Diceros bicornis minor: one gene and its partners. The protein of the gene in region 1 interacts with the protein of each later gene in a biochemical or structural test. Links are inferred from orthologs where the notes say so. Each region holds a gene or a part of one and is shown on either strand. Other genes may lie near its edges. The genes, in order: DLG1, IQSEC2, KCNA4 and ARHGEF26.

Region 1 (7,572 bases):
GTCCAACTTTCTGTCCTGGGTATCTACCTTCCACTGACAAGAAAGCCTTGCTGCATTCTTTCAGGCTCTGCCTGATAGGAAACTCCCACCACCTTGGGGCAGCTCTTTGGAATTTTGGACAGCTCTGACAAACCATATTAAAGAAGAATTTCCTATGTTCCTGTAACTTTCATCCATTAGTTTTAGCCCTCTCCCCTGGATACACAGAATAAGCCTATTTGAAGACTGAGGTCAAGCTCCCTGGAGCCCTCTCTTTTCTCAAAGAAATGACCCTAGATTCTACAATTGTTCCCCTTAGGGTAAGATTCACATCTCCTATTGTTCTAGTTCCTCTCTTCTTTCCAGATGCTGGTTTGTCTAGATCCCTCTTAAAGTGTACAGCCAGGAAATGCCCCCTGAGCTCTCTGTGGAGATCTGACCAGCATGGTCACTTCCATCATTCTCAACATTGTTCCTCTTCTTGCAGCCTAAGCCGGCATAAGCGTTTTTGATGGCATCACATCCTTTCCTTTTAGTGATTGCCTTGGCACAGGCAGCACACTGCTGCTCTGCCAGAGTAAGAACAAAAGATGCAGTAGAGTCTGGCAGGACCTGGGTACCTTTACAGAGGATAGGCTGGGGACTTGGACCAGGGAGAGTACAAATTCAGAAATGTGGAACTATAAGGGTGGCTTGGGTAGAAGGATGGTTGGGAAGGGAAGATTTAGAACTGAGAGAGAATATTCTTTGTGATCAAATCTCTGACATCTCAATAGAAGAATGGGAGATTTGAGCCTTTTCCTGTGGTCCTCTGACTCCTAAGCCTTTTAAGCTATTTGAAAGAAAAGTGAACTTGGGGCTGGAAAGTGTATATATAAATTTTTTTTAATGAGGCAGTTGAAAAAGTAATCAGATCCTATATTGGATCCTATTCAATGGCAGCTGCTACCTGCATAAAGTAAGAAAGACTTCAAGGAAACAGAAGTTGTTTGGAAAAATCCAGTGTCATTGCTTTGTATGTTGTAGTGATGTGGTAGCCAGCCTCCAAGATGGCCCCTAATGATTCTTACCTCCTGGTATTCATACTCTTGAGGCTGACCTAAGTAACCAATAATATTGTGAAAACGATAGAGTGTTACTTCTGAGATTAGTTCATGAAAGATGTTGTGGCTGCTGCCTCACCCTCCCGAATCACTTGCTTTGGAGGAAGTCAGCCACCACGTCATGAAGACACTGAAGCAGTCCTACAGAAAGATCTTCATGGTGAGAAACTGAGGCCTCCTGCTAAAGGCAGCATCAACTTACTAGCCATGTGAGTAAGGCATGTTGGAAGAGCCTCCCTTAATCTCAGGTAAGAATTCAGATGACTGCAGCCCTGGTAGACATCTTGACTGCAATCTCTTGAGACCCCAAGCCAGAACCATACAGTCAAGGTCCTCCTGAATTCCTGACCTGCAGAAACTGTGAGATAATGTTTATTGTTGTTGAAGTTACTAAGCTACTAAGTTTTAAGCTACTAAGCTTTGAGGAATTTGTTATGCAGCTATAGATAACTAATACAAATGGATAGATAGGAGGAATGAGGAGTAAAGGCCTCTGTAGGGGCACCAGCCAGCGTGCCCCTTTAAAACCATGAGTCCTTGAGGCTCCTTGGCTGGGCTACGTGGCAGCACTCACGATGATAACAGTCCTGGGCTTGGCCAACCCAGCTGTTTTCTTGTGGGATAATTAGCACAGAGACCCTTGCGGTCTGAGGGAACACAAAGGCCCTCCAGAGGGGAGTTCTGGTCCTTGGAAGGCAGGTCATACAGGGATGATCCCCCTTGGCAAGCATGCAGCCTTTGTTCCTCTGCCTACTTAAGCAAGCTTCTCTCAGTGGGCAGTTGCCGGTGCACATCTCCTGTCCAGCCAGCCGCCACTGGACGTTCCCTGTAAGTAACTCCCTAATAAACCCATATGTCTTGCCCGCTGTCTCTGGGTCATTTCTTTGGTCTCTTGGCAAGATACCCTGCCACCTTAGCCCAGCTGGGTGTGCGGTCCTACAGCCCCTCATACTAGGCCTGCACTTGTCATGGCCCCTAAGGGTGGAGAAAGTGCTAGCTTCTTTTCTGCTTTTTGACACTGCTGACAACTGCATAGGGATAGAGGATGACAAGAAGGAAGGGCATCATGCCCTCTTGTCTCCTCTTTCTCCTCCCTCTTCTCTTTGTTTTTAGGGGAGGACTAGGATGACACTGAGAATTCACACAAATTTTTTTTTGACTTTTCAGTAGCTCTTGGGAAAGGCTGCGCTAGCCTTTATCCATTTGGTAGTAGGCTGTGGGTCCTTGAGAGCTGGGCTTGGATATTATTCATTTCTATCCCCATTGCCTAGCAAGTGAACGTATATGAACAACGAATGATACTAAGAGGGAGGGCGAAATCCCTCTCTCCTTCTCCTCAATTCTGAAGAGACTCCATTCTTAGAATGGTTCCTTAAGTGGAACCATTCCATTCACAGTTCATCAACGAAGTCTTGATAATAATAGCATGCGTGCCATCAGCCATTTTCACTATTAAAAACTCCCTTACTTCACTATTTTAAAAATCCCTCTATTTAAGCTCCTTGCTTTTAGGAGACTTCTCTCACTTTTACATCCCATTTCTTCTATGAAATGTTGCTTTAACTGTTGCTCAAGCTCCAAAGATGCTTAATCCACGACAGTATAGAGATCTGCTGCCAATACACCAACACACCATTGTATGGAAAGAGCCCTGGCCTGGAGCTAGGAGACCTAATTCTGGGTTGCTGTCACTGATTAGCCTATATGTCCTTGGGCAAGTTGCTTCTCCTCTCTGGACCTCGGTTTCTTTATCTTAAATGGAGAGAGTGGGTCTAGATGAGCCCTAAAGTCGTCGGGTTCTCACAAGAAGTTAAGATTCCAAGGTGCAATCCAGAAGTGAAACCCAGTGGTCAGAGGCATACGTCTGAGTAACTGTTATGGTTACAGTACAAGGTTCTCCGGACTTCCCTTTACTAGCCCAAGGATACGGCCTCCGTGAAAGGCTGTCAAGTTTACTGGGAAGAGTCTTCCGGTTTTGAAAGACACGATCTCCGTGTTTCCAGTTTTGTCACTAACTCTGGATGACCTTGGGCAAATTTTTCTCTCTCAACCGCAGAGCAGAGAGATCTTTGTTATCCAGAAGAGGCTCAAAGACCTGGGCAGTGACTTGAAGAGCTTTCCGTGATTCTCCTACAATCCGAGTGGCTCAGCCCCGGAGCAGGGTCCTGGCCGGCCAGTAGTCCCGCTCCAAGGTGCAATCAAAACTCAGACCAGCTCTTTGAGCGAGGGGCGGCTCGGCTTCGGAGGCGGCGGCTACAGGTGAGTTCTTAAGGGGCCGCCAGAGCTTGGGTAATACGTGGAGACTGGTGACTGGGCAGCGGACGTAGGCAAGGGGGAGTGAATGAATGAGTGAATGAAAGAAGGAACGAATTTTCTCTTCATACCCTTAAATGCATTCATTCATACTTGTGATGAATTCATCACTTAGACTTAAAAATCCCTTAGTAAAATCCTCAAACTCTTATCAAATTAACCAATCTCCCTATTTTACGTGCCCTTCTTTAATTCACCCCCCCCAAAAAAAAAACTTTTACTGAGGGGCGAATAGTAACTTGAAAAAAATCAGTGCAGAGTGGAAGACTGTGTGCAGAGATGGCACCCCCCACCCCCCGCCCAAACTCCTCCCTTTCCCCGTCCCAGGCTCTGCCCTCCCCGCCCCCTAACGTGGGGGGCGCAGTCCTCCCCAAAACCACTTTTCTAGGTTGGAGATCTACCCCCGGGAGCGCCAGGTACTCTCTCCTGCCTTTGAGTTGGAAACAGCATGTGTCTAGTGAGGTTAAAGGGAGTCCTGAAATGTGTCTTGGATCTGGTGTAAGTGAGGTCACGTCTCTCTTCAGACACCCCGACCCTTCTGGGTCTGGGGCGCTACTCGCTCAGAACCGCGGGGCACACCGGTGGACTACGGTTAGGTAAAGGCAGGCTCTTCCAGGCCACCCCGGGCCACCTGTAGAGTCTGTGTGTCAACTCCTTTGTCCTCAGAGCCACTTCGGTGGCCGTCCTTTTAAGCGAGGAGGTTCACTTGGGATGCTCCCCAGGTCCCCTTCCCCGTTCCCCAGCCCCCTCCCGGCCCTCCTCCCCCTTCCAATCCAAAGGTAGCAGCGCTGAGAGCCCGAGGCTCGGCGCGAGCCGCCTCCTCACTTCCCATTGGCTGGGAGCGCCGGGAAGGCGGTCACGTGGGGGCGCGGCAGTCCAGCTCGGGGGCCGCCATCTTGGCGGAAAGTTTGGGGGGAGAGCGGTTGGGGGCGCGGAAGGAGGCGAGGTTCCGGGGGTGGGGCGGCTAGAGGGAGAGAGGGCAAGCGGGCTAGCGGGCCGTGGTGAGCGAGGAGGCGGTGGCGGCGGCAGCGGCGGCGGCGGAGGAAGAGGCAGCGGGGGTGCGGCCGCCGAGGGGAGCTCCTCCCCCGTTCCCTCACCCCCCTGAGCTTAGCTCCTCGAGCCCCGGGCGGGGCGGGGGGACGTGGAGCGGGGGCAGGGCGGGGGAGCCGCCCGAGTCCGGCCGGAGCGCACCCCAGCTCTGAGCGCACGCCGCTCGCAGGAACTTTGTGGCGGCGCCGCAGGTGTGGGGGCCCGCGGAGGTGTGCATGTGGGGCGCGAGGGCGTCGCGGAGAGCGGCCGCTGCCCTGTCCGGCCCCCGCTGGAGTAACCCGGAGGAAGCGAGCCAGGAGAAAGGCAAGCGAGGGGAGAGGGCCCGAGCAGGGCGGGGTGATCAACCCAGCTGGTCCCTTCCCGGAGCGCTCTACAACCGCTGCTGGCTTAGGGGCAAGGGTCGGAGCGCCTTTTCACCCCCCCAGTAGCAGGTGGGAAGTAGGCATACTTATACCGGGGGAGGGGTGGCCCCAGGTCTAGGCATTTAGTGCCCTTTAGAGAGGGGGCAGCTTTCGAGGAGGATTTGGAAGCCGACTTCTCTCTGCTTTTAATTTGCAGGGCTACCCACCCCTGGGTAACAGCTTTCTAGATTGATTGACACTGCTAGGTTTTGAGGCTCCTCCTCTCACTTGGGAAAACTTTGCCAGGTGGGCTTTTCCAATAGGGCTGAGAGTTTTTCGGTTTGAGATTTAGGGGGAAATGCTAGTTTAACCACAATTCTTTTCTTTAGTTCTGTTTGCTTTCTGTTTTATGTTTTTAAAGGTGTGTGCCCTCTTCCTGATTCTGGAGAAAAATGCCGGTCCGGAAGCAAGGTGAGAATTTATTTTGGAACTTTCTTGTGAGTGTCACTTGCTTTTCTGTGTGTCTGTTTTGTGATTGCTGTGTTTTAAAAATGTGTAACTCTGATGAGACAGCACAGTCCTAACGTTAGTAATCTAAGCCTCACATCATTCAGAAGATGGAAACACTTAATGTTTGTCAAACTTTCTTCCTTGACATCTCTGTAGTGATTGGAGAGGCAATTAATGTTTTCCCTCTGAAGTGTCTTTTTGAAAACTCTTAATTGGTTTTTTAATATTTCACTTTATCATTTTTACTAAACACTATTTTGTGAGCAAATGTGGGATATTGGCTAAGAGCTAGTATTTTGAAACACTTGAGATTTGGATTATAATGACATTGTGGATAATCTGCTTTTGCATATCAGATCAGCTGAAACTATGTTGCTAATACTTTGATCAAATGATCTTTTATTGTGGTAGACTAGCCATACACATTTATTACAAACTACTCACCTTCCTCTTCTTTCTACTGTGACATATGTTTAAAATTTTTTGGATAATTCTAGGGAATATACCTGTACATGAACATAGTAATATCGATTGACCTGGAGGATTTTGAGAACTGTTGAGACGTCTTGCAGAATCATTTGCTTCATAGCTAGTGTGTAATACTTTCTTGTAAATATATAATTTTTATCAGACTCCTTTTTTCTTCTCAGATACCCAGAGAGCATTGCACCTTTTGGAAGAATATCGTTCGAAACTAAGCCAAACTGAAGACAGACAGCTCAGAAGTTCCATAGAACGGGTTATTAACATATTTCAGAGCAACCTCTTTCAGGCTTTAATAGGTGAGACTTATTACTTTATTTGTGACCATTATGTGTCAGCTGGGCTTAATGCTGCTCTGAATTCATTTATTTTACTCATAAGAGAGTGATGTACTTGGTTCTCTGTGAGTCATTCAGTAACTTGAATATGCAGTGAGTTGTATATTTTGATAGTTAGGCCAATATCCTTTCCAAAAAGATCTAATAACCAAAAAAACTTTCAGTATGATTATTTCAGTGGTCTTTGCTAACAGTGTTTCATATCCTAACATTAACTATTAAAAGATGGAGAAGTTGCAAAAATGTTTCAGGACTCAAAAGGTAACTACTGTGAATACTTGCTTCTGTATTTGACTTGTATTTCTGTGGAGTACCTGAGAATGCTTGAAGAGTTTTGCTGTGTTTAAAAACATTCATTCCTGTAGTATAGATGTCTGTTTGAACTTGGTATTCATGGAGTCAGAATTTTAGACCTGAAAAATGATCTTAGAGATAATCTTGTCTAATCTTATTTTACAGACAATAAAATTGAAACAGAATTTTATTAATTGTAATTTAAATATGAGGTGGTGCATTGTTTTGAAGGAGAACTGGACAAATAGTCAAGAGTCTTGAATTCTATTCTTGACATTGCCGTTAATTGAATGATATTACACAAGTCATTTAACCTTTTTTTTTTTTTTTTTGTGAAGAAGATCGGCCCTGAGCTGACATTGGCCAATCCTCCTCTTTTTCCTGAGGAAGACTGGCCCTGGGCTAACATCCATGCCAATCTTCCTCTACTTTATATGGGACACTGCCACAGCATGGCTAGCCAAGCGGTGCGTCCGTACGCACCCGGGATCTGAACCAGCGAACCCCGGGCCACCGCAGTGGAGTGCGCACACTTAACCGCTTGCACCACCAGGCTGGCCCTGTCATTTAACCTTTTTAAGGTCACAATATTAGCTGTAGAATGTGGGTGCAGTGGAACAGTGGTTTTTAAGCTTTTTTTTTTGAGTGGCTAGATCCTTTCTTAAAACAAAATCTTATATTTTGTACCCAATCCTCGGTATATAAAACAAGGTGATCTGTCTCTGGCCCTCTCCTCTAGTACCTTGAAAAGTATGCAAACCACTGAAATAGAAAATTTGTCCCTTCCAATTCTAAGAATATAATGTTTTTTTATTAGTCATTGACTATATAACATATTAACACAAGACATACACTTCATTGCATTACATTTATTTTCTCAGTAACTTCCAAGTATATCGATATGACCTCACATCTGTCTGTTGTTAGAGTAACTTTTGATGTGATTTGAGGACTACCTTCAAGTTTGTGTACCCTGTCAACTTATAGGTAAATTGATATTCTCTGCTGAATTTGTTTTAGAATTAAAGATTTTAAAGAAGACCACTGAATACACCTGAATATTTTTTACAAATTTAACATTTTAATAGACTTTTAAAACCATACATAAAAATGGAGAGAACAATATAATGAACTGCTGTACACCTATGACCCATCTTCAAA
Region 2 (7,973 bases), on another chromosome or scaffold:
GCATGTAAAAGAAGGTCCAGATGCTCCAGTTTGGCAATGGAGTCTTTCCAAGCTGAATCAAACCATGTCTTCTCATCTCCTCCTACCCCTTACAACACACACACACACACGCACACACAGACGTGTGCGTCTCTCATGCCCTCTTCAACCAAATTACGTGTGGTTCCCTAAACACACATTGCTTTCCTGACTCTGTTCCTTTCCTCCCTCTGTGCTACCTGTTGAAATCCTAAGCTCAGCTCAAATACTTTCACATCCATAGAGACCTCCCAGCACCCCAGTCCTGGTGCCTCCATTCTAGTGCTTTGCACATTCTGTCTTGCTTGTGTGACTTATGGTTTTGTTTGTGACTTATGGTTGTAGCTCTCTGACTAGACTGGGAGCTTCCTGAGGGCACAGCCTATGCCTGATTCACCCAGAGCTCTCCATCATCCTTCCCCGCTTTGTCTTTCTCCAGAGCACCATCTGTGTTAGTTTCCTAAGGCTGCCATAACAAAGTACCACAAACTGGGTGGCTTAAAACAACAGAAATTTATTCTGTCACAGTTTTGGGGGCTAGAAGTCAAGAATCAACGTGTTGGCAGGGCCATGCTCCCTCTGAAGGCCTTTAGGAAAGAATCCTTTCTTGCCTCTTCCTAGCTTCTGATTGTTGCCAGCAACCCTTGGCATCCCTTGGCTTGTAGACTCCAATCTCTGCCTCCATCTTTACATGGTGTTCTCCTTGTGTGTGTGTGTGTGTGTCCAAATTTCTCTCTTCTTATAAAACACCAGTCATTGGATTAGGACCCACACTAATAGAGTATGACCTCACCTTAACTTGATTACATCTGCAAAGACCCTTATTTCCATCTATAAGGTCACATTCACAGAGTGAACATCAAGATTTGGGGGATAGTATTCAACCCAATACACCATACAACATGCTCTCTATATTCTATTTGTTTATTATCTCTCTCACCCACTAGAATGTCAGCTCTTTGAGGTTAGGGACTGTTGTCTATTTTGCTCATTGCTATATCCTCAGTGTCTGGAATAGTGCTTGACACATAGTAGACACTCAATAAATATTTTGTGAATAAATCTTTGTACCCATCTGCCCCCTGCCCCACAGGGAATCTGAATGAAAGAAGCAGGGATAAGGACGGGAATGTGGGTATTGCCTAGAACATAATGAATGCGCTGTAAATGTTCACTGGATGAATAGAAGTATTTGATGGATATATTAATTTAACACTTATGGAGCACCTATTTTATACAAGGTACTGAGGAAAGATACAAAGAAGTGAGAAGGAAACATCTGAGCATCCTGGCTATGCATCTGTGTGACCCTGGGCAAGTCATTCAACCTCTGGGTTTCACTTGCTTCATCTGTAAGATGGAGGTAAGTGCATTTGTACATGTCAAGTGTTCAGCACAGTGCTTGGCACATGGTAAGCACCACAGATGTGTTAGTTATTACTGTTGTAGTTGCTGTTATGTGCTAGACTCTGTGCAAGGTGTTTTTTTTTTTAAACCCAGCTTTATCGAGATATAATTCACATACCAATAAATTCTCCCTTTCAAAATGTATAATTCAGTGGTTTTTAATTAACAGAGTTGTGCAACCATCACTGCAATTTAATTTTAGAACATTTTCATTCTCCCTCCAAAAAACCCCATACCTATTAGCAGTCACTCCCCTTTCCCCAATCCATGCCCTAACCCCTGGCAACCATTACTCTACTTTTTGTCTCTATGGATTTCCCTATTCTGAAATTTTATATAAGCGGAATCGTACAATATGTGGCCTTTTGTATCTTTTTTAGCATAATGTTTTCGAGGTTCATCCATGTTTTAGCATGTATCAGTACTTCATTGCTTTTCATGGACGAATAATATTCCATTGTGTGGATATACCACATTTTGTTTACCCATTTGTCAATAGATGAACATTCGATTGTTTTCACTTTTTGGATATTATGAATAATGCTTTTATGAACATACATATACAAGTCTTTGTGCGGACATATGTTTTCATTTCTCTCAGGCATATACCTGGGAGTGGAATTCCTGAGTCATATGGTAACTCTATGTTTGACATTTTGAGAAACTTCCAAACTGTTTTCCAAAGTGACTGCACCATTTTACATTCCCGCCAGCAATAAATGAGTGTTCTAATTTCTCCACATGCTAGCCAATATTTCTCCTTGTCTGTCCTTTTTATTTCAGCTATCATAGTGGATGTGAAGTGGTATCTCAGCGCATGTGTCTCTGTGTGTGTTTTAAGAAACCGATGTTTATTTCTTAACAACCTTATTTCCATTTTCTGTTTAAGAGCCTGTGGAAGAACAGCTTAAGACCACCCAGTGGTCATTCCTACCCATTCAGTGGCCTGAGCAGTGGAAGCTGCAGACCAATCTTTAGTGGCAGGCTGAGTGCTCCAGTCTTCAGCAAGGAAATGCTGGATAGGCACAGAGGGCATCTACATGCTTTCAGACCAGTCTGTGACCTCAAGTTTAGTGGCAGTAAACTCAGGAGCTGAAGCGGTCTATTCACCCTGAAATTCCTCCTTGGTTACAACCTTTTCAGCAGCCGCCTGCTCTTCCTTTTTAGTTTCTTCAGAATCTTTGCAGAAATAGAGATCAGACATGACATCCCATGGATGCTCCTGGGAGATGGTGCCACACACGCACAGAACTTCCCAGGCCAGCATCCACCACATCAGACCCACTGAGTGGGCTCCCTTGTTGTTGCATGGGAAGGCAACGTCCCCATGCTGCAGAGGAGAATCTGTGTTACACAGAGCCGTGGTAGGCAAGTTAACATAAGACACTTCTGTGAGAGTCCAGTGGTCAGCACTGGGATCAGTAACCACCAGAAGTCGTGGCTCCCAGAAGGCTGCCTGGATCTGGTTAGTGAAGGTTCTAGGAGTGAAGGGGCCAGCAATAGGAGCGGCCCCGGTGGCAACAGCAACCTCAGCACAGCTTGCTGGCTAGTATTCCTGGAGGATATGACACTGACATCAGCCCGGTTTTCAATGGCAACAATGGCACAAGCCACCAGCAGAAGCTTCTCCCAGGTTCTCTTCAGATTTATGATGAGAACTTTATTTATGAACTAAATTTATGATTTATCACTTTTCCCTATGTAGATGCACTGTTCCATTTGGAAGTCAAGGTTGCTGCCACCTAAGTGGGTCTCAGCTGCAAGGAATTTAAGTACACTCTCCTCTTACATCTGTAGGACATCAGGGCTCTGGACACTGTAAAAGTTTCCCTTTAAGTTATGACAGGAACTCAGAACAACGCCTTATGGGTAGCACAGCAAGCTCATGTGGTTTTGATCTGCTTTTCCCTGATGGCTAATGATGTTGAGCATCTTTTCATGTGCTTATTGGTCATTTGTACATCTTCTTTGGAGAAATGTTTATCCAAATCCTTTGCCCATTAAAAAAAATTGGGTTGCCTTTTTGTTGTTGACCTGTGAGAGTTCTTTACATATTCTGGATACAAAGCCCTTATCAGATATATCATTTGCAAAGATTTCTTCCCATTCTGTGGTTGTCTTTTCTGTTCCAAATGTTTTTGCATGCTTTTTTCCAAGACCACCTCTGTGAGGTAGGTGTTATTGATAGGGAAATGGAAGTTCAGAGAGGAGAAGATAGAATTTAAATCTAGTTTTGTCCGATTGTAAAACTCATACTTTCTCCTCTACCGCAACCTGCTCACAAAGATGAATGACAACATGTTTCTGGCTTTAAGGAACTCAGTCTGGCAGAGGACATTAAAAAAACACAAATGAATGTGCTATAAAGCAGAGTTCCACTTGTCCCACAGTGCCACAAGAAGTGTAGAGGAAGTGCAGTGGGAGGTCAAGAGAGAGAGAAAGCAAGCGCTTCTGGCTGGGCAAATCAGGGTTGGCTTCAGTATGGTGGCATTTAAGTCTTGAAGGATGGTTACAGTTTCGTTGGATGGAGATGATGGACTGAACGGAGGAGAGCATTTCCAAAGGAGAGCAGAAAATGAGGGTTGAATGAATGAATGGAGCTTTGATCCTGAGATTGGCTGCAATGGGGAGTCCCAGGGCTTGCTGGGATGGGAGATCCTGGGACTGCCTTGGTTGGAGGACCCAGGAACTGGCTAACCTGGGGGATCCTGGGGTTGGTTGGGATAGGGGAACTGGGCACTGGCTTGGATGGAGAGTTTAGGGGTTGGCTGGAGTAGGGGATGCCTGTGATGTTGTGTGTGTTGGGTGGGGGGTGGTGTACCAGGGGCTGGCTGGGATGGGGGAGCTGGGGACTGGCTGGGTTGGAGGGACACGGGGCTGGCTGGGATGGGGAGACAGTCCAGGGACTGGCGAGGATAAGAGATCCAGGGACTGCCCGTGATGTGGGCTGGCCGGTTGTCGCCTGAGATAGAAGGTCCAGGGGTTGGATTGGATGGGGATTCTGACACTGGGATTGGCACACCCAGGGGATGGGGAGTCCGTGGGATGCCTGAACATGGGGGTTGCCTGGGATGGGGGTTCCTGGGATGTCTTCAGTGAAGCTCTTGGGCCTGGCGGACCTGAGGGACATTGGAATGGACTGGGATGGAGGGCTTCGTTAGGCTGCATTAGGTGAGGATCCTGGGACCGGAAGGGAGAGAATTTGGCAGCCTGTGATGGGGCTGGCCCTGGCTTGACCCGTGTGCCTTGGGGCGGGTCCGGCTTCGGGTGCGGGTGGCAGCGGCAGGTGGGGCGCGCGGGGGCGGCCTGGCCGAGCCGAGTGGGGGCAGGGGTGGGGGGCGGGCCGGCGGCCGGGGCGGTCCCGCGCGGCCGCGCTGCGCAGTGACTCCGCAGCGGGCGGAGCGCCGTGGCGGCGGCGGCGGCGGCGGCGGCAGCGGCAGCGGCAGCTGCAGCGGCAGCTGCAGCCGCCTCAGCTCCTGCTATCCGTGCCGCCGGCCCCAGCGCTGTCTCCCGGGCCCCCCCGGGCCCCCGGGCCCTCGAGCCCGGTGCGCGCCCTCGCGTCCCGCCGGCCCCCTCCCCCGGCTGGGCCCGGGGGAGGGTGGCGCCGTGAGCGAGCGGGGACCCGGCTCTCTTGCCCCTTCCCTTGCCCCTGGGCCGCCAGGATGGAGGCGGGGTCGGGGCCCCCGGGCGGTCCGGGATCCGAGAGCCCCAACCGGGCTGTGGAGTACCTGCTGGAGCTGAACAACATCATCGAGAGCCAGCAGCAGCTGCTGGAGACCCAGCGACGGCGCATCGAAGAGCTGGAGGGCCAGCTGGACCAGCTCACCCAGGAGAACCGCGACCTGAGGGAGGAGAGCCAGCTGCACCGCGGGGAGCTGCACCGGGACCCCCACGGCGCGCGGGATAGCCCCGGCCGCGAGAGCCAGTACCAGAACCTGCGCGAGACCCAGTTCCACCATCGCGAGCTGCGGGAGAGCCAGTTCCACCAGGCGGCCCGGGACGTGGGCTACCCGAACCGGGACGGCGCCTACCAGAACCGGGAGGCTGTGTATCGGGACAAGGAACGGGATGCCTCCTACCCGCTCCAGGACACTACAGGTTACCCAGCCCGTGAGCGCGACGTTGCCCAGTGCCACCTGCACCACGAAAACCCAGCCCTGGGTCGCGAGCGTGGCGGGCGGGAGGCCGGACCAGCGCATCCGGGCCGAGAGAAGGAAGCTGGCTATTCGGTGGCGGTGGGCGTGGGGCCCCGGCCACCGCGGGAGCGGGGCCAGCTGAGCCGTGGCGCATCCAGGAGTTCCAGCCCCGGGGCCGGCGGTGGTCACAGCACCAGTACCAGCACCAGCCCGGCCACAACCCTCCAGAGAAAGTAAGGAACGTGGTTTGTACCCCGCCCCCAACCCCGGCTCTTCCCCTCTTGTGCCCTCTCCAACTTGTCCGGCCGGTAAATTAAGAAGCCAGTGTCTGATTCCATGTCCTTTTCTCCTGTCCCAACCTGTCAGGAGAAGCCAGGTCGCCCTCATGCACCCCTTCTCTAGCCACCCCAGACTGGGTTGGCCGATCAGTGCAGGTGTCGCTTCTTTCTCAAAACCGTGGCCAGTGAGGGCCTAGAGCAGTCATCACCCCCTTCACTTCTTCACCCCCTAGCTGTATCCTTGCCAGAGGATGGCTTTTCTTTTATTTATTTATTTTGGATGTGCTGCTTGGGATTTTTATTGTCTGCGATGGTGTCAAGTCAGAGCCCCAAGGGAAAGAAAGCCCTCCTTTTTTTTTTTTTTTTGCCGGTTGGGGTCTTCTCTGCAGATGCTTGGTGCAGGCCTGATCTTGTCTCCTCTGGCGGCCTCAGCTGCATCCTTTCCCAGAGAGGCAGTTGGGGACCAGAATGGCTGCTGGAGGCTGAGACATCCCTCTGAGGGGAACTGCAGCACATCCGGCTGGGGGAGCAAAGATGGGGGAGCAAAGATGGAGGCCTGACCCTTGGCTAGTTCCTCAAAGACCACCCCCTTTCCACCCTCAAGAAAAACACCACCCAATTAAAGAGAGTACCAGGAAGGGAAGTCTACAGATCTTCCCTCTTGTTGGATGAGTACCAGTTTCTGTGCTAGGGTCTGTGTCGGTGTGTCTGCCTATTTGGCACAACTTGGCAATATCTCTTGGGTTGGTGGGACATGGGCTGGGTGCGCTTCTTCCATGCAGATACCATGGTGAGCTGGTCGGGATAAATGTCAGGCTGAGAGAGTCAAGGGCGTGCAGGCTCACAGAGCTGCCCTAAAGGCTCCCTGATTTCTCTTCTGCTGTATTGGACAGAACACTGAACTGGGAGTTAGGAGACCCAGGTTTCCCTTCCAGCTCTGCTGCAGATTGGCTTTGTGACCTTGACTAAGTCCCTTCCTCTCTCAGGGCATCACTTTTCCCATATCTTTCTAAAAGGCAAGGTCTGCCTTAAATGCTCTTTAAAGACCCCTCCAGCTTAGATTTGATGGTTCTGTGACTAATCCAGCCACACTACAGAGCAAGTCTGAAGTCCTCTAGCGAATGGACAGCCTTCCCCCTCCTCTCACTGCTCAGCTGGTCCTACCATGTGCCACAACCAGTGGAGTGTCTCTTGGAGGCTGGGCTGGGGGTGGGGAAGCCTTCTGCCTCAGGAAATCTGCCGGGAGACAGCTCTCTGCAACTCCCCCGTGGTGAGGCAGCAGGCTGGGGTGCTGGGTTGAGATGGCTGGGCCCCAGGAGCTGCAGCTGCAGCTCGACGGCTCGGCTGAGCTCCACTGCAGTACACCCTCAGCTGAGTTTTGGTGTGGACTGCCCCAGAGTAGTCTGGTGGTGAGGGAGATGGGCTCTCCTGCCCAGGTGAGGCTGCTGGGAGCCCATTCTTGGAGGACTGCTTGAGTGCAACTTGGGGCCCCACACTGGAGGAAGGGTCTGGATCAGCCAAGCAAGGCCCTTTCAGGAGAGGGCCATGGTGGGCTAGGGACAGAGGCAGACTGGATGGGCATTGTGGTGGGACCTTGGCTGGGGAAGATTTTTCTAGAGTGGTCAGGATGGTGACAGAGGAAGCAGCCTCATTCTGTGTGGCTCCAGGGAGCAGAACCAGAAGCAGTGGGAAAATTTGGGATAAATCAGGAAGAACTTTCCAGTCCAGCCATCTGCATCACCAGGCAGGGTTGGGGGCTGGCTGGATCTGTCCAGCAGAGGCCCGGTGGGGGTCCGGGAGAGCTGGAGAAAGTGTAATTCCTGAATCGGTGTAAAGCCCAATGAAATGACTTAAGTCTTCCCCAATTCCAGGATTCCAAAACCCTCAGATTCTCTATCCTGCAGACATGGTTCTGAATCTCTTGGCTGGCTGGAAGCCCATTTGCTCTTGAGCTCTGTGCTTCTGCCATCCGTGCAAGCCCGCCTCTTGGTCCTTCCCTCTTTTTGTGCATCCTCCAGGCTGTTTGTTGGATTTCCTTGCTTTGCATTTGCTACTGGATTAATAAGGGGGTTTAGATAGTACTTTGAATTTCTCCTAACCATATATTAAATATTTGCACATCCATTATTATCTC
Region 3 (7,045 bases), on another chromosome or scaffold:
AGATGTTAGCCCAGGGCCAATCTTCCTCAGCGAAAAGAGGAGGATTGGCAACAGATGTTAGCTCAGAGCTAATCTTCCTCACCAAAAAAAAAAAAAAAATTCCATGTACAAGAAAAAAACTAGCTGAGTGACTCACATTTTATAAGGAATTATGGGCTGCTCAGAACATCTGCATCCATAAATTTGGGAATGGGAGACACGGAATCAAGTCCCCCAGGACTTTTTCACTCTCACATCCTTCAGAACTTTGAAAGTCAGAGAGGTGAGGCGCTGGGGTAAGCAGGTAAAAAAGCGATCTTCTTTTAGTTTTCTCCCAATACATGCACTGAACTTTCTTGGCAAATGGAAGCCTTTTTCATTATTCATTCATTTTCGTTCATTCTTATTGAGTGCTCACTTGGGGTCAGGCGCTGGGCTGGTTGCTTGGGATACAGTGCCTGTTTTCAGGGAGGTGTCACAGGCTTCTTGGGAGAGAGAGGAGGAGTAAACAGAACATTGCAATTCACTGGGGACCATGGTCCCCAAAGAGAACAAAAACATTGATAATGGACTTAGTTTAATCCCACAAGGCCTCTCCCATCTGTTTTGTACAGAGGAGGATCTGCTGCCTGTTGCCCCTTTCTATATCAACAAAGGCTTCCTAGTGTGGTCTGGAACATTTGTACCAGCAGTGAGAGAATTCAAAGCCAGGGAGAAATTATTTGTGGTAACAGGTGTATATAGAGGGGGGCATCTGAAAAATTTTGGCTAGTTGATGACTAAGAAAGGCAATAAAATAATTTTTTCCTCTCCAAGTAAAATACAGTTTCAGACTGAGACAGGTAGATTTTTGTTGGGCACAAGCAAAGAATTTTCTGCTACTGTTTATTTGTGTGTATTTCTAGGAATTCTTAAGAGAATTTCAGGGAGAGAAATGGAGTATTTCTTGTTTGCTTTATAAAGAAATTATTTAAAAGAGCAAAGAGTTTTGTGCCTGTGTGTGTGTGCATGCAGGTGTGTGTGCATGGAAATGTGTGAGTCTGTGTGTGTGTGTGCGTGCAACGGTTGAGGGGAAGCCTGGAGGAGGAGCATGTCCTCTCCAGTGGGACCCCACCTATCTGTCAGGTTCCAGTTACTCCTGGTTCACCCTAGGGCCACATGCCTGTGCATTCTTTACGGCAGCCACTGCAATTCTCATCATTCTTCAGCGACATCTCCTTTTTCCTTGTCAATCCTTGCTTGCTTCCCCCAAATTAGATGCTACTCCATTCTTTGCATCCCAGGAACACCATTCTCATACCTCCATCATAGCATACCTGCCTTGTTTCATAATCTGGCTATGCATCTGTAACAGACACTAGTTTGTGAGGACAAATGGGCAAAGACCACACGGTGTTACCCTCACTAGCGTGAGGTCTGTCCACAGTGCAGAGTCAGATTGAAGGGCCCAGTTCTGCTACATAATTAGTTATAACTTTCGGGCAAGTTCATTAAACACTGTAAGCCTCATTTCCTTCTCTATAAAATAGTGATAATAATAGGACCTACCACATAAAGTGTTCAGTTAGGCAGATAAAATTAGCCAACAGGCATGCGAAGCACTTAGCACAGACGGGGTCCTGGGTGGGCACCTGAAAGAGCGTTACCTGCCTTGATCAAGTCTTCAACAAGTAATCCTCATAGCACCTGAATGAGTATCTTCTGAGAGGGTTTTCCTTCAGCTGCATTCTTCCTGGGGTGCTTTAGGAATTCAGATTCCTGATACCTAAGAAGCGCAAATATTTATAAATCCTCAGGCATTTTAAACTTTAAAATTCTCTAGGCCATGATAGGAACAAACAGTAAATGGCACATGGAAGCATAATTCATCAAGTTTTAACTTGGTCCAGTTAAAATGTCCAAGCTTCGACGTAACTGTCATCTTTTGTGCATCATTCAATCTCAGTTTTCATCTCCCTGAAAGCATTCCACAGTTGCTCCCAATTGATCTCACAAATTGCTTTTGGGAAACTAGTCCCAGGATCCTGTGCCCTCAGCCCTGCTTTCCACCATACCAAGAAACATCGTTCTGATGAGACAATAGCCGCAATCATCTGCTTCCAGTCGGAATGTACGAAACCGCACAGGGACTCCATCACCTTGAGGAGGTACAGAGGGAGGGTCGGGGCCAGTGCAGGTGATGGTTTCTGGGGACATCGGCCCTCCCTCCGTGCCGGAACGGACTAGGGTGGGGAATGCGCAGAGGCAGAGCCTCTCCAGAGCCCGCCTGGAGGCGCCTCTCTCTCAGTTCCTCCACGAGAGCCTCACAGGTCGGTTTAGTCACCCCCAGAGTTCAAGCTGCACTAGCTGGAGGATGTTAGGAAAACCAGACCCCACATCTGTTTTTCTTTTCTTTCTTTTATTTCTTTCTTTTCACTGATTACAATGAGAATCTTTTAGTTATTTAAAAAGATCAAAAGAATCAAACAGCAAGGAAAAGCAGTCCTCCAGGTGTTCTTCGCTGAGCCAGCCCCGGTTAGCTGGTGAGCGCAGGGCATATCTATAATTCAGTTCGGGAATATTTCTCTTAATAATTAATCGAGCGCCACAAAAGGAGGAGGCCCAATAGGGCCCTCGAACAAAGCTGCCAGCTGAGGACGACAGTGGCGGCCTCGGCGCCAACTGACCCTCCCAAGGTCGGATTTTCTCCAGCAGCCTGGGCACGCGCCGCGACCACCTGGCTGGCCCACCCGGGGAGCGGGGCGTGGTGTCCGGAGCCCCGGTCGCCACCTGAACTTCTGGCGTGTCTGTGTGTAAATTCGCACTTCCCACCACTAACCTTTCTTTTTGTGGATTTGTGGGGATTGCACATTTACATCCACGTCCGGGGGCATTTCATACGCCAGCCACCTAATAAGCAACCTGGAGTCCAGCCTATTTTGAGGACGCGCTGCGGGCGCACTTGCCTGCCCTCGGGGCTAGCGCACAGGGGGTAGTGCGCACAGGGGTGGTGGCCTCGGGGATAGTGTGCACGGGGGTGCCCTCGGGTGTGGTGCCCTGGGGGGTAGTGGCAGGGGGGTAGTGCCCAGGGAGTAGTGCGCACAGGGGTGGTGCCCTCGGGGGTAGTGCCCTCGGGGGTGGTGCCCTCGGGGATAGTGCGTATGGAGGTGGTGCCCACGGGGCAGTGCCCACGGGGGTAATGCGGCTTTTGTTGTTCAATGGGGGTAGGTGGTGTTAGAGATCCGACCGTAACGGTAGAGACCTCCCCGGAGCCAAGCCTCTTGCCGAATCGCATTTCTTTGCCCAGCAACAGGTTCACCGAGGGCTCTTCTCCTTCCGAAGCCCCCGCCCCGGGCCGCGCTAGCGCTGCCCCAGTCCCCCGCCTCTCTCCCCCTCGGACTCTGCCTCCCTTCGCCTGGGCCGGGTCCAGTTTCTGCAGCCCTCCCCTCATGGGTCCTCCGCGCCCTGAGGCCCGACTCCCGAGCTGGGGCCGAAGGTCTGTGCGGAGAGGCGGGACCGCGGGGTCCGGGCGCGCGCGCAGGCGGGAGAGCCCCCGACGGCTGCCTGCCCGAGGGGCCCCGGGCCCCGACCCCACAAACCCGTCATGGGCGCGGTGGTGCCGGGGAGATGCAAAGACAGCGGGCCCGGCGGGGGCGAGGACGCCCAGAATCACCCCGCTGTCCAGACTGGACCCGGCGAGGGCACCCTCCGGACCTCTCCTGGGGCTCCTCCGTCGGGACCAGCTCCTCCCCCCGGGGCCACAGCTCGGGGCTCCAGAGGGTTCCCACCCGCTCCCGGGAGCCGGGCGTCGGGGCTGTGCGGGGGCTGGCGGGGACGGTGTCGTGACCGCGCCCGCCCCGCCGCGCCGCCCCCGGGGCCCCTGCCACCGCGCGCGCGTCCCACCCCCGGCCCGCAGGCCCCGCCCCTCCGGCCCCTTCGCCCCTTCGCCCCGCCCCGGCCCGCAGGCCCCGCCCCCAGCCGCAGGCCCCGCCCCGCCCTGGCCCCGCCCCCCGCGCGCTCCCGGCCGGGAGGCGTGTGCGGCGCCGGCAGCGCCGCGCGCGGGGGATGCGTGCTGCAGGCGCTGCTCCCGCTAACAAGCGCTCGCTGCTGTCTAGGATCCCGCTGCTTCTGCTGCGGAGCCTTGACTTCCTCTCCCACCTGGCCCTCCTGTGCTGAACTCCGGAGGAGCCCGAGTCTTGGGGTCTTCCCGGGCGCAGCCCGACCCCCGCCCCGGGCTCCAGCGGCGAGAACCCTGCGCCCCCGTGCAGGCGACAGAACTTGTTCCCTGGATGTCCTGGAGCCTCCGCCTGCCTCCCCGGAGTGGTTCCTTCTACCCGAGATCGCTCTTCCCCTCCTCCGGCTGCTGTCGCTCTGGGGGGAACGACACCGGGGTTCTCTCTATTTTTCTTGTGCGCCCGCCTGGATCGGTAAGTGTGGTGCCCTCGGGTCTTTTCCCCACTCTCCTCTACGGCTCTTCAGAAGCAGTGGGCGTTTGAGGGATAAATAATATCGGGAATGTGACAGAAGGGCATGAATGGAAGGCGGTTAAAAATAACCCAGGAGGTGGAGAGGGAGGTGCAGATGCTGCGGGGCGCTCGGGGCCGACGGTCGCTATCGCGACCCCCGGGCTGGGGATGGGGGTGCGCCCTGCACACGGCGCCGGGGGGCCGGGGCTGGAGGCGGGGGCGCGATGGAAGATGTCGTCCCGGCGAGGCGCGGCTCAGGTTCAGCAGCGTTCGCCTCCTCCCAGGCTCACCGGTTCCGTTCCTTGGGAAACAGCTGGCGAGCGGTTTGAATTGCTGCCTCTCCCAACATTTGGGTTTGCGTGCATTTGCTGAGCATTTGAGCAACACATAGCGACTGTGCAAATGGCGTGCGTTGAAGTGTATGTTTCTCACGGTGTTGGCCTTTCTGATTCTCTCAATCTCTCTCTTTCTCTCTCTCCCTGATAAGGTTCAGGTACCACCCTAAGACAGTTGCAGGAATTAGCACTGAGAGATGAAAACAGCCCTGTTGGGGGTGGGAGGAGGAGGGGCGGGATGCTTTGCTGTTGTTTGGGGGCGCAGGGTTTGGGGAACGGGTAGTCTGCAAAATCGTATTAGTTTGATGGTGTTAAAGAGGAAGGGACATTTCGCTGCAAAGGTCTCCCCCATAAAGGCTCCTGGGAGTCGGCTTGACTGGATTCTCCTAACAGGAATACCTTGAGAAGGAAGAGAATTTCTAAACCAGTCTGGTTTGCTGGGTAGAAGGATGTTTTCTTTCTTCTTCTTTTTTTAAAGATCAGGGATAGTGAGGTAACTGGTAGCCAATTAAAAGGAAGATAATTTGCTTTTTGTAGGGTGGGGGAGGGAGTTAGATAAACAAAAACTAGCACACCTAAATAAATAAAGGAATAAATTAGAAATTATTTGGTGTGGAACAGAAAGGGGGCAGGAGATGGTGAATGAGAAGACCCTCTGATTCATGACCTTCTGGGCGTCAGTTGGGCGGGAGAGGTGTGCGTAGTATACGAATTTACAGGCACTTTGGTTACACTGGAGCTTTATGTAAATAATGTATTATAACTGCTCTGAGGGAGTTGGGGAAGAAGATGAGCAGACTCCTAGGCTATTTGGCCTGTGAAAGTCTTTAAAGGATGTTGGTCTGACCCTCCACAGTGAAAGCAGAGCTTTGGAGACTTCCTGAGGGAAACATTTCAGAGTATGGGATGATGTTCGGAGTCAGGGAAAGAGGATGCCATTTGAGATACCTTTAGAGGTATATTTTCAGGGGTTTGTGTCCCATCAAGTTCGCCTCTTGCCCTATGAGAATGTGTGTTCTTGGGAAGGGATATGTGGCTGAGAAGCCTTCTGTCTGCCACTTCCCTGCTTATCTCTTCGTAAAAGTCGGGTGTGTTGAGGCTTCTAGGCTGGCATGGTTCCGCAAGCAGCAGCAGGTGGTCAAGAGCCGAATCCTGCTAATGGCTGCAGAAAGCCATTTCTCTCATGCTCCCCCAGTGCTTCCAGTAATAGAAGCTGGTGCCCATTCTGATGCCCTGAATTCTGAGTGTCCATATCCTTCCCGGTTCCCCGGGCCACTCTTTGCATTCTTGGAAGTCCTGCTGGACAGAGTGAATGGAAGAAGCAAGAGGAGACAGGAGACTGGAGTGGGAGCTTTTACAGGTCCTGGTGGAGAAGATGAATTAGCTGGACTGAGGCAGAGGAAACCAAGGAAGAAGAAAGGCCAAGACTACCAAGTGACAGTGGGGACAGAGTGTGCTGCAAGGAAGATGTGGTCAGGGAGGGGGAGATTGGGAGTAAAGGCGGGCAGAGAGAGAGGAGGAGGGGTTGAGGGATGGGAGCTATGGATTAAATTATAGGGGAAAGTATGATAGGCTGAAAATAAAGTCCACACGAACTGGGATTTAAAATGTAAGGAGATAGTCCCTTGAGAAGAGTGTAGGAGGAAGCCTTAGAGTGAACATGGAGGAACGCAAGGACAGAAGATGATTCTTAGACAACTGGAAACGGAGATTAGCTCCTAGGCTGTGGGTGGCAGAGAGTGTTCTGGAGTCTGAGGAACAGAAAAGCAACAACAAGGACATGCTTCAGGGAGTCAGGGAGTGCCAACTCGACACAGGCCCCGGGTGAGTCTCAGAACACCCTGGGTGTCCTCACGTTCCGTCCTTCCCTACTTGAGACAGTGCTGTAAGGACATACACACGTGGGTGTGGGTGGATAGATGGTAACAGTTTACGTTACTGTCATGGTATTAGTAACTACCAGCATTTATTGATATTCGTTATGTACAAGGCTCTGTGCTATTCTATCAACATCTTTTATCTCATTTAATGCTTCCAAGAGGGAGGGGGGAGGTTGTATTATTACCTACACTTTGTAGATAAGGTGACTGAAGCTTGTTCAAGCAGTGGAGCCTGGATTAAGGAAAACTAGTTGTTCCGATTTCTCTAATCCTGAATCAAGACAGAGTAGGGGTGGAAGGGGACTAAATTCAGAAATATTTTGAGTGGAAATTTAAAAAAATGCCTTGAGATTAGTGAATGATGGAAGCAGCTGTAAAGTGACAGCATTATTTTTTTTTTTCGTGA
Region 4 (7,436 bases), on another chromosome or scaffold:
ACTTTTTTGCCACAGTAAGAAATGCTTTGATGAACATCCTTGAACGTACTTCTTTGCACACACCAAGGATTATTTCCTGTGTGTGGAATTACTAGGTCAAAGATTTGCCTGTTTTCAAGGTTTGATTGAGTATCATCTAATTGCTCTCCAGAAAGGTTGTACCAATTTACATTCCTAGTATGAATGGGTCAGAACCCCCTTTTGCCTGCACTTGTACCAACAGTGGGTGTTTTGTGTTTTTTTTTAAATCTTTGTTGATCTAATGAATGAAAAACTATGCTGTCATTACTGCTTTAATTTTGTTTTTACTATTGAGGCTGAGTATATTTTTATGTATAGTGGGCACTTGTGTCTTCTCTGAAATGTGTATTCTCACTCTTTGCTCATTTTCCATAGTTACCTTTTTCTTATTGATTTGTTAATGATGTAGATACTAACGCTTTGTCTGTTATGTGCATGTTTAAATATTTTTCTCTAATTTTCCTCTAAGAGAAGATTTCCCTCAGATTTTATGAGTTTAGTTGAATTTTTTTAATGTACAAACAAATCCGTTCATTTTTATTTATTTTTATTTCTGAGATTGGTATCGTCCGATTTGTTTTAAAGGATAGAAACGCTTAAATACTTTCAGAGTGTCAGATGCCATCCAGGGAAATCCCAGACCCTCAGTTTATGTCGCACACCACAGTCTAGTCTCACCATATTTAGCTGAATTAATCTCCCACAACTTCTACATGCAAACTCTCTGTTCTCGTGAGTTTAGTCTCTGGTATGGGAGCTCATGGGCTCTGGAGTCTGACAGACCCCAGTCAGGCTTCTGACTCAACAACTAAACAACAGTCTATAAAGAGCTCTTTGTGTAGATACAGGATCGATGTGAGGTGAGTGACAGTGCTTCATATATCATTGGCTCTTAGTAAACATCAGTTTTCCAGCCATCCCCCCGTGGTTCTGTGCCTGCTGGGGCAGCTCTCTGGGATACCTGTCTCCTCTTCACCCCACAATATTTGACCTGCTCTCTGGCCCAGTTCTCTCCAGACTTCACAAAGCCTTTCGTAGAGCAGGGAGCTCAGCATGCATCTTACTCAGCCTAGGTGCCTTATATGATTATTTTAATATTTCAAACGTAGTGAATCAGCCAGGTTATAAGCTTCAGGAAGGCCTGGTCCAGAGCTTGGCACTTAAATGCACCCAATATAATATGTAAATAAATGAATAAAGAGTGCATGAGATATAACTGCAAAGTAGTAATACTAGTTAACAAATTGCACTTAAAAATTAGCCTAATTATTATGCCACACACATAATTGGTGATCAAGGCAAATTTGTTTAGTAAATGTAGCAACAATTGGTATCTTAGCCTCTGGTATCCTGCGTTATACTATTGAATATTTTAATAGTTCAATATGTCATTGGAGGAAATGGGTGAAGGTGGTTAAAAGGTGCAACCTTCCAGTTATAAGATAAATAAGTCATGAGGATGTAATGTACAGCATGGTGATTACAGTTAACAACACTGTATTGTATATTTGAAAGTTGCTGAGAGAGCAGATCATAAAAGTTCTCATCACAAGAAAAAAAACTAACTATGTGAGGTGATGGATGTTAACTAAACTTATTGTGCTGATCATTTCAGAATATATACATATATCGAATCATTATGTTGTACACCTTAAACTAATACAATGTTATATGTCAATTATACCTCAATAAACTGGAAAAAAATTAAAATTTTTAAAAATTAAAAACTATACCATTGGAACATACCAGTGGAATATGTCATTCCTACTAGTTCAATATACTATATTTCTCCAATCCTAAGAAGCACTTTGGTCCCATCTCTGACACCGGGATGTGTACTGTCAAGGAAACAGCCATCGGCCAGGTGGCAGTCATGACATACCTGGCATTGCCTCTGTGCTTGTCAACATGGTCATAACTGTTCCATTTTCTGTGGAATTAAGTAAATTCCATTAACTGTGCAATTTAGTATTACATGTGTCCAAGCCATATGCCAAGAAATGCAGCTGAAGGCAGGAGAAATTGCCAGATGTGTCAGATTAGATGGAAGGGATTCCAAAGCAAGAGAGGCTGATATAACCGATTCACGGATCACAGGCACTACACACACAAACTCTCACAGGACTATAGTGAAGGCCCGGAGCTACAGTTTGTCAGAAACTTCCTTCCATCCGTTAATAGAGAAGCTGCACAGCTTGTAGGCAGGTGATTCAGCTGAACAAGAAAACTACGCTTTCAGTCACAAAGGATAGCGCCAGCATCAAACTTGCAGAGTGAGTGTGAGTGGCTAGGAAGCAGATCCCAGAGACAGGACTAGAACATTTGTTAAGAAATGCTGCACTATCAATGATCTTGTGTGGAAAAACACACGTATTGATGCTCTGCGTGAAAAGGGATTCAGAAGAATTAGACTAAGTGTACAGAATTTTTAGAAATACTCTAATCAATTTATTTGCCTACATTTTCCTTTTCCATGTATGCACATTACTGAGAAATCTTTGTCTAAGTCTAAAGGCACTGTTTCAGGAAGTGTAAAACAGAAATCCTCTGTGATAACACATGGTGTCACAGTTTAATTGGCAGCTCTTCTCCTTCTCTGGTGTTCCATGTAATCAAAGATGCCTTAGATTTGAATCGATAGGAGAAACTGAATGGAGGCTAAAAGAGGCAGGAGGTCTGTGAATTTCAGAGCTTCCCTCAGTGAAGGACCAGAGCTTGGTGTTTTGTTGTTGCTGTTTTGGTGGGTATCATGTTGTTCCTTTGGGATGAGGTAGGAAGATCCTGTGATTTCTTCACAATCATCAGTTACACTTGTTTGCAGATCCAACATAATTTGAAGAGAAGCTAGCGTCTAACCGATCGCATTCCGAATTAGGTAACATTTCATTTTGTCATTAGTTATTACATTTTTCCAAAATAAAAGTAATATGTGCTAGTATGAAAATGTGCTGTATTAAGTGGGTATGTGTGAGTGTGTAATCAGCCATATTTCTTCCAGCCAAAATATTTGGTAAATTTCTTTTTAAAAAACTCAATTTTTGGAGGCCATTTCTTCTAGTTTATAAAAATATTTCAGATCAAAGTAACATATATTCAATGTACAGCATTTGGTAAGAACCGGAAAGTATAAAGAGGCATGAAAAACATCATGCTTCACCTCCCCACCCAGAGATGGCCTCAATATCTCTGGCCCTTCCACTCGACGTATCTAGGACAACCACAAGAGCGAACTCGCACACACTGGATGCTCACCGCATCCCCGCCGGATGCACGCAGGCTGAACCGACCCGGCGATCAGCCCACACGTGCTGCTAGCAGAACTGATCACACAGATGTCGTGCCCGAAAAGCGTCGTCTCCTCGAGCTGCCTCATTCTGCGCGCACGGCAGGAGCCGGCCAGGCCCGTCTGGATCTGGCAGCGGCGCTGTGGGGAGGGTCCCCGTGCCGCGTCGCTCGCTCCCTCCTCCACTCCGGGGTGTGCGCCTGGGCCAGCGGGCAGTGGACACGCGCCGCCCCGAGCCCGCGGCCCCGGCACAGCGCGACGGGGCGCACGAGCACAGGTACACGCGCAGGCTGCCGTGAGCGCGGACAGGCGCCTGGGAAAGCAGACACGCGGGCCGGGGTCAGGGCGGCGCGGAGGCCTCTCTGACGGCCACAGGTCAGAGGTCGAGGGGCAGCGGGACAGGGCGGGCCGCAGAGGCGGCGCGCGGCGCAGGGCTTCCCAAGAGGGACAGGATCCTGACGGTGTCCGCGTGCGCTCGCACACCAGCACCTTGTCGCCGGTGAAGCCGCGTCACTTTTCAGAGGTCACACTCCGGACTCAGCACACACACCCGGAGACGACGATGGAAGCACCCCCGCCCCTCCGCAGCGGGCCGTGCGGGCCCTTCGGAACACCGCGGCACGAACGAGCAAACCCAGATTACAGAATATTTCACGCCGCGGGGGCGAGGCCACCGGATGTGCGTTTTAAGACCACCCGAGGCCAAGGCTGGGGGAGGGGTCACACAGGGCGGGACCAAGTTTGTGGGCGGGTCAAGGCTGAGGGCGGAGCCATGGTTGGGGCGTGGTCGAGGCTGGGGCGGGGCCTGATGAGGGCGTGGCCAGGGGTGGGGGCGTGCCCAAGGCCGAGGAGGGGGCCAAGCCTGGAGCGGGGCCGAGCTGGGGGCGTGGCCAAGGCCGAAGAGGGGGGGCCAGCCCTGGGCGGGGCCAGGATGAGGGCGGGGCCCAGTCTGGGGGCGAGACCAAGCTCGGGGCGGGGCCGGGCCGAGGGCGGGGCCAGGACTGGGGCGTGGCCAAGGCGGGCGGGGCGGCCGCTCCCGCCAGCGGACTCGGTGCGGGCCGGGCCGGGCCACCCACGGGCGGGCTCGTCGGCGGCGGGGCGGAGCCCGACGGTAGCTGCGCCCGGGGCGGGCGGCCGGCTGGCGCGGGGCGCGCCCGCGGAGAGGGTGCTGTCCCGGCGTCCGCGCTCGGCGGCGGCCCTCCGTGCGGCTCCCCCGTCCGGCCGGCGCGGGTCCCGCCCGGGAGGGCGGCGGGCGGTGGGCACGCGCGTGGACCGCGTGGCGGGCCGGCCGCCGAGTGCGCCGGGCGAGCGCGCTGCCGGAGGCTCCCGGCCGGCCGGTGGACGCGCGGGCTCCGCGATGGACGGCGAGGGCCGCGGGCCCCTCTCCGGCGGCGGCCCGCCCCCCCGGCCCCGCTCCTACCAGAGCCCCAGCGGGCTGCTGGTCACCGATTTCCCGGCCGAGGACCGGGCGCCGCCCCCCGCCCCGGCCGGTAGGACGGTGCCCCCCGGCGGCAGGGCTGTCTCCCCGCGGCTCCGACGGCCCAGGTCGCCCCGGGGCCCCAGGGCGGCGTCGGGCGGCCCCCCGGAGTCCCCGGCGAAGGGCCCGGCGGCCTCGCCCGCGCCGCAGCCCGTGCGCCCCCCGCGGACCGCAGCCCCGCCGGCCGCCCGGCCCCTGTCCGCGCCCGCGGAGAACGGGCTGTGCCCCCGGAGCCCCGGCCCGCGTGCGCTCGCCGCGCGGGCGGCCGAGGACCCCGCGTCCCCGGGGAGGCCGCCCCCGCGGGGGGACGCGCGCCCGGACGGCCCCGCCGTGGTCCTGAGCACCAACAGCCCGGCCGCCCTCAAGGTGGGCAAACAGCAGATCATCCCCAGGGGCCTGGCCTCGGAGACCAGGGCCAGCAGGCCCGGCGGCCAGGGCGCCGAGCCGCACCGGAGGCTGGTCAAGGCGCGCAGCATGGTGGAGGGGCTCGGGGCGGCCCTGGGCCCCGCGCAGCCCGCGCCCCCGCCCGACGGCGCCGACGACAGCCCGGGCTCCCTGCGGAGGGGCCTGCGCTCCACCTCCTACCGCAGGGCTGTGGTCAGTGGCCTTGACGTGGACAGCCCGGCCACCTCGAAGAAGAAGAACAGAATGTCCCAGCCTGTCCTGAGAGCCGTGCTGGAGGACAAGGAGAGGTTCTCCAGCCTGGGGAGGACGAAGGTAGGAGTAGGAAGGTGTCGAGTGGGGAGGGGCCCTCCCTCTGTGGTTGGTGGGTCAGACCTGTGCACCTCTGTCTCAGCCATTCTGCTGCTGGCCGGCACTGCCCAAGGTAATGCAGCTTTGTGGGGGGAAGCGAAACTCCTACCACTGTTGTATAACTCTCTTACGTTCAGGCAAAATGTGGTGGGCAAATGGAAAAAAATACCGCAAATTAAGTATTGGCTGAGTGAGTCAAACGCTTAGTACAGGAGCTGAAAAGGGGATGGAGAGCAGGCGTCCTCTGCTCTCACGATCTTGGGTCAGCTGTCCTGTGCTGGTTTGCAGGGGTCGCTCAGTGCGTGCTGATCCATCACAGCCGACCCAGGAGAACACTGACTTCCTTTGAGCCTGTTGACTGTTTTAATTATTTACATTAGTCATTTAGTTATTGAATTATTTTTTGAGTGGTGATCACATAATAAATGCCATGTAGGTAATATGTGAATTTTGAAATCAATTGCCAGAATCACAGAAGACACACATAGTTTGTCATCTTTGTTGTTGCTTGTTTCTGTCACCACGGCCTCTGGTTGTGTTTATTCCCATTTGGTGCCCACTCATCCTGCAGTGCTTTAGCAAGTTGGTGGCTCAGAACTTCAGATTAGAGTGAAGTGGGTGGTACTGCTTCCTGATAAGGCCTAGGAGCTGCACTTGTTAACAGGCTGCCAAATAGGAGGGGAAGGAACAGGGAAGCTGGAGAGGGGTGTCTTGGAGTTTGTGTGCTGTCTTCTCCAGACACAGGACAGACAGCAGCAGGGAGACACTCATTCTGGCACCACATCCTTTCCTGATTAATCGGAGGACTGGAACCAGTCTGTACACATGTCACACACAGCAAGCCTGTCTTATTTTAGATCCTATGGCCTTAAAGAAAAGAAATTACATGACATTTTATGTGTTTTTTTCCCCCAACTCTGCAAGTATAGCAGAGTTCAGTTTAATAGTGAGGTGAGTCATGAATAGTGAAATGAGCTGAACTGCTTCATCTGAGGGTTCCGAGCTGTTTTGACGGGGTGTGGGGACACTGTTTATTTCCCCTGTTGTGAATTGTAGCGTCACATGCGTGAGCTCCTCCCTCCCAGGGTCAGCGGCTGCATGCTTTTGGAACCCTAATGAAAGTAACGAAAAGGACTTTTACTTAAAACAGCTGTATTTTCTGTTTGGCTCATTCATACATAGTTTGCTATGCTTTTTCTTTTTTTTTTTTGCTTTTCTTGTTTCTTAGAAAACAACGCTGAAAGGACAAGGAGCATTTGATGGGGAAGGTAAGCATGTGGTTTTCCAGACTTTTATTGCTGTTTCAATGTGGAATTTCACTCAGAAGTCGAAATCCAACTGCAGTAGCAAAAACGCTTGAGATGAGAAAAATGTCCAACTTCTTCCCAAATTATACAGCACAAAGCCCTGCACGAAGCTGAACTTTCGTCTCGTGATACCAACAGTCAGTGAAATTGGTGGCATTCTTGTAAGCTGATGACTTGGTCACTGTCCTGGGGTGTTACTTCCTCCCTCTCCTGCTCTGTCCCCCCCTCCCTGGAAACGCAGGAGGAGGAGGAGCAGGCCCCAGCTCTTCAATTTTCGGGGAGTTTGGGATTTAGATCTAAAGTCCTATATCCTTAGGTCCTATTTCCTTTGACTTAAGCTTCTTTTCCGCGTATTTCTGCATTTTAGTATCATTTCTGACCGCCTGTTTCCTTGTCAAGTTTCCATTTTGGGGAAATCTAACTCTCCTGGCTGACAGAAACAAATTCCTAAGAATAGTATAGTATTTTTGTTAAGAATCTCAAAAACAAAAGCCGCTTCACCAGGTGTTCAAACCCTAATCAGATTAGTGGACTGTGTGTAAATAGGTGGGTCAGGTGTCAACTGGGAGAACATGAGGATAGCCGCCCCGCCTGC

What was found.
Region 2: the proteins of DLG1 (region 1) and IQSEC2 interact in a test that uses a peptide from one of them, tested with the Homo sapiens proteins (2 studies listed by IntAct, with this or other methods). The link is inferred for Diceros bicornis minor from reciprocal best matches to the Homo sapiens genes DLG1 and IQSEC2.
Region 3: the proteins of DLG1 (region 1) and KCNA4 interact in a biophysical measurement, tested with the Homo sapiens proteins (2 studies listed by IntAct, with this or other methods). The link is inferred for Diceros bicornis minor from reciprocal best matches to the Homo sapiens genes DLG1 and KCNA4.
Region 4: the proteins of DLG1 (region 1) and ARHGEF26 interact in a test that uses a peptide from one of them, tested with the Homo sapiens proteins (2 studies listed by BioGRID and IntAct, with this or other methods). The link is inferred for Diceros bicornis minor from reciprocal best matches to the Homo sapiens genes DLG1 and ARHGEF26.

The regions. Positions count from the first base shown.
Region 1 is NC_080754.1:29,485,176-29,492,747, reverse strand, and holds the start of DLG1 (disks large homolog 1), read left to right. Parts: upstream 1-4,558; 5' UTR 4,559-4,748; intron 4,749-5,207; 5' UTR 5,208-5,238; coding exon 5,239-5,257; intron 5,258-5,946; coding exon 5,947-6,078; intron 6,079-7,572. UniProt on the Homo sapiens protein: Essential multidomain scaffolding protein required for normal development. Recruits channels, receptors and signaling molecules to discrete plasma membrane domains in polarized cells.
Region 2 is NC_080781.1:46,648,378-46,656,350, forward strand, and holds the start of IQSEC2 (IQ motif and SEC7 domain-containing protein 2), read left to right. Parts: upstream 1-4,971; 5' UTR 4,972-5,087; coding exon 5,088-5,794; intron 5,795-7,973. UniProt on the Homo sapiens protein: Is a guanine nucleotide exchange factor for the ARF GTP-binding proteins.
Region 3 is NC_080746.1:85,611,047-85,618,091, reverse strand, and holds the start of KCNA4 (potassium voltage-gated channel subfamily A member 4), read left to right. Parts: upstream 1-4,042; 5' UTR 4,043-4,385; intron 4,386-7,045. UniProt on the Homo sapiens protein: Voltage-gated potassium channel that mediates transmembrane potassium transport in excitable membranes. Forms tetrameric potassium-selective channels through which potassium ions pass in accordance with their electrochemical gradient.
Region 4 is NC_080741.1:1,455,196-1,462,631, reverse strand, and holds the start of ARHGEF26 (rho guanine nucleotide exchange factor 26), read left to right. Parts: upstream 1-4,430; 5' UTR 4,431-4,661; coding exon 4,662-5,498; intron 5,499-6,762; coding exon 6,763-6,802; intron 6,803-7,436. UniProt on the Homo sapiens protein: Activates RhoG GTPase by promoting the exchange of GDP by GTP. Required for the formation of membrane ruffles during macropinocytosis. Required for the formation of cup-like structures during trans-endothelial migration of leukocytes.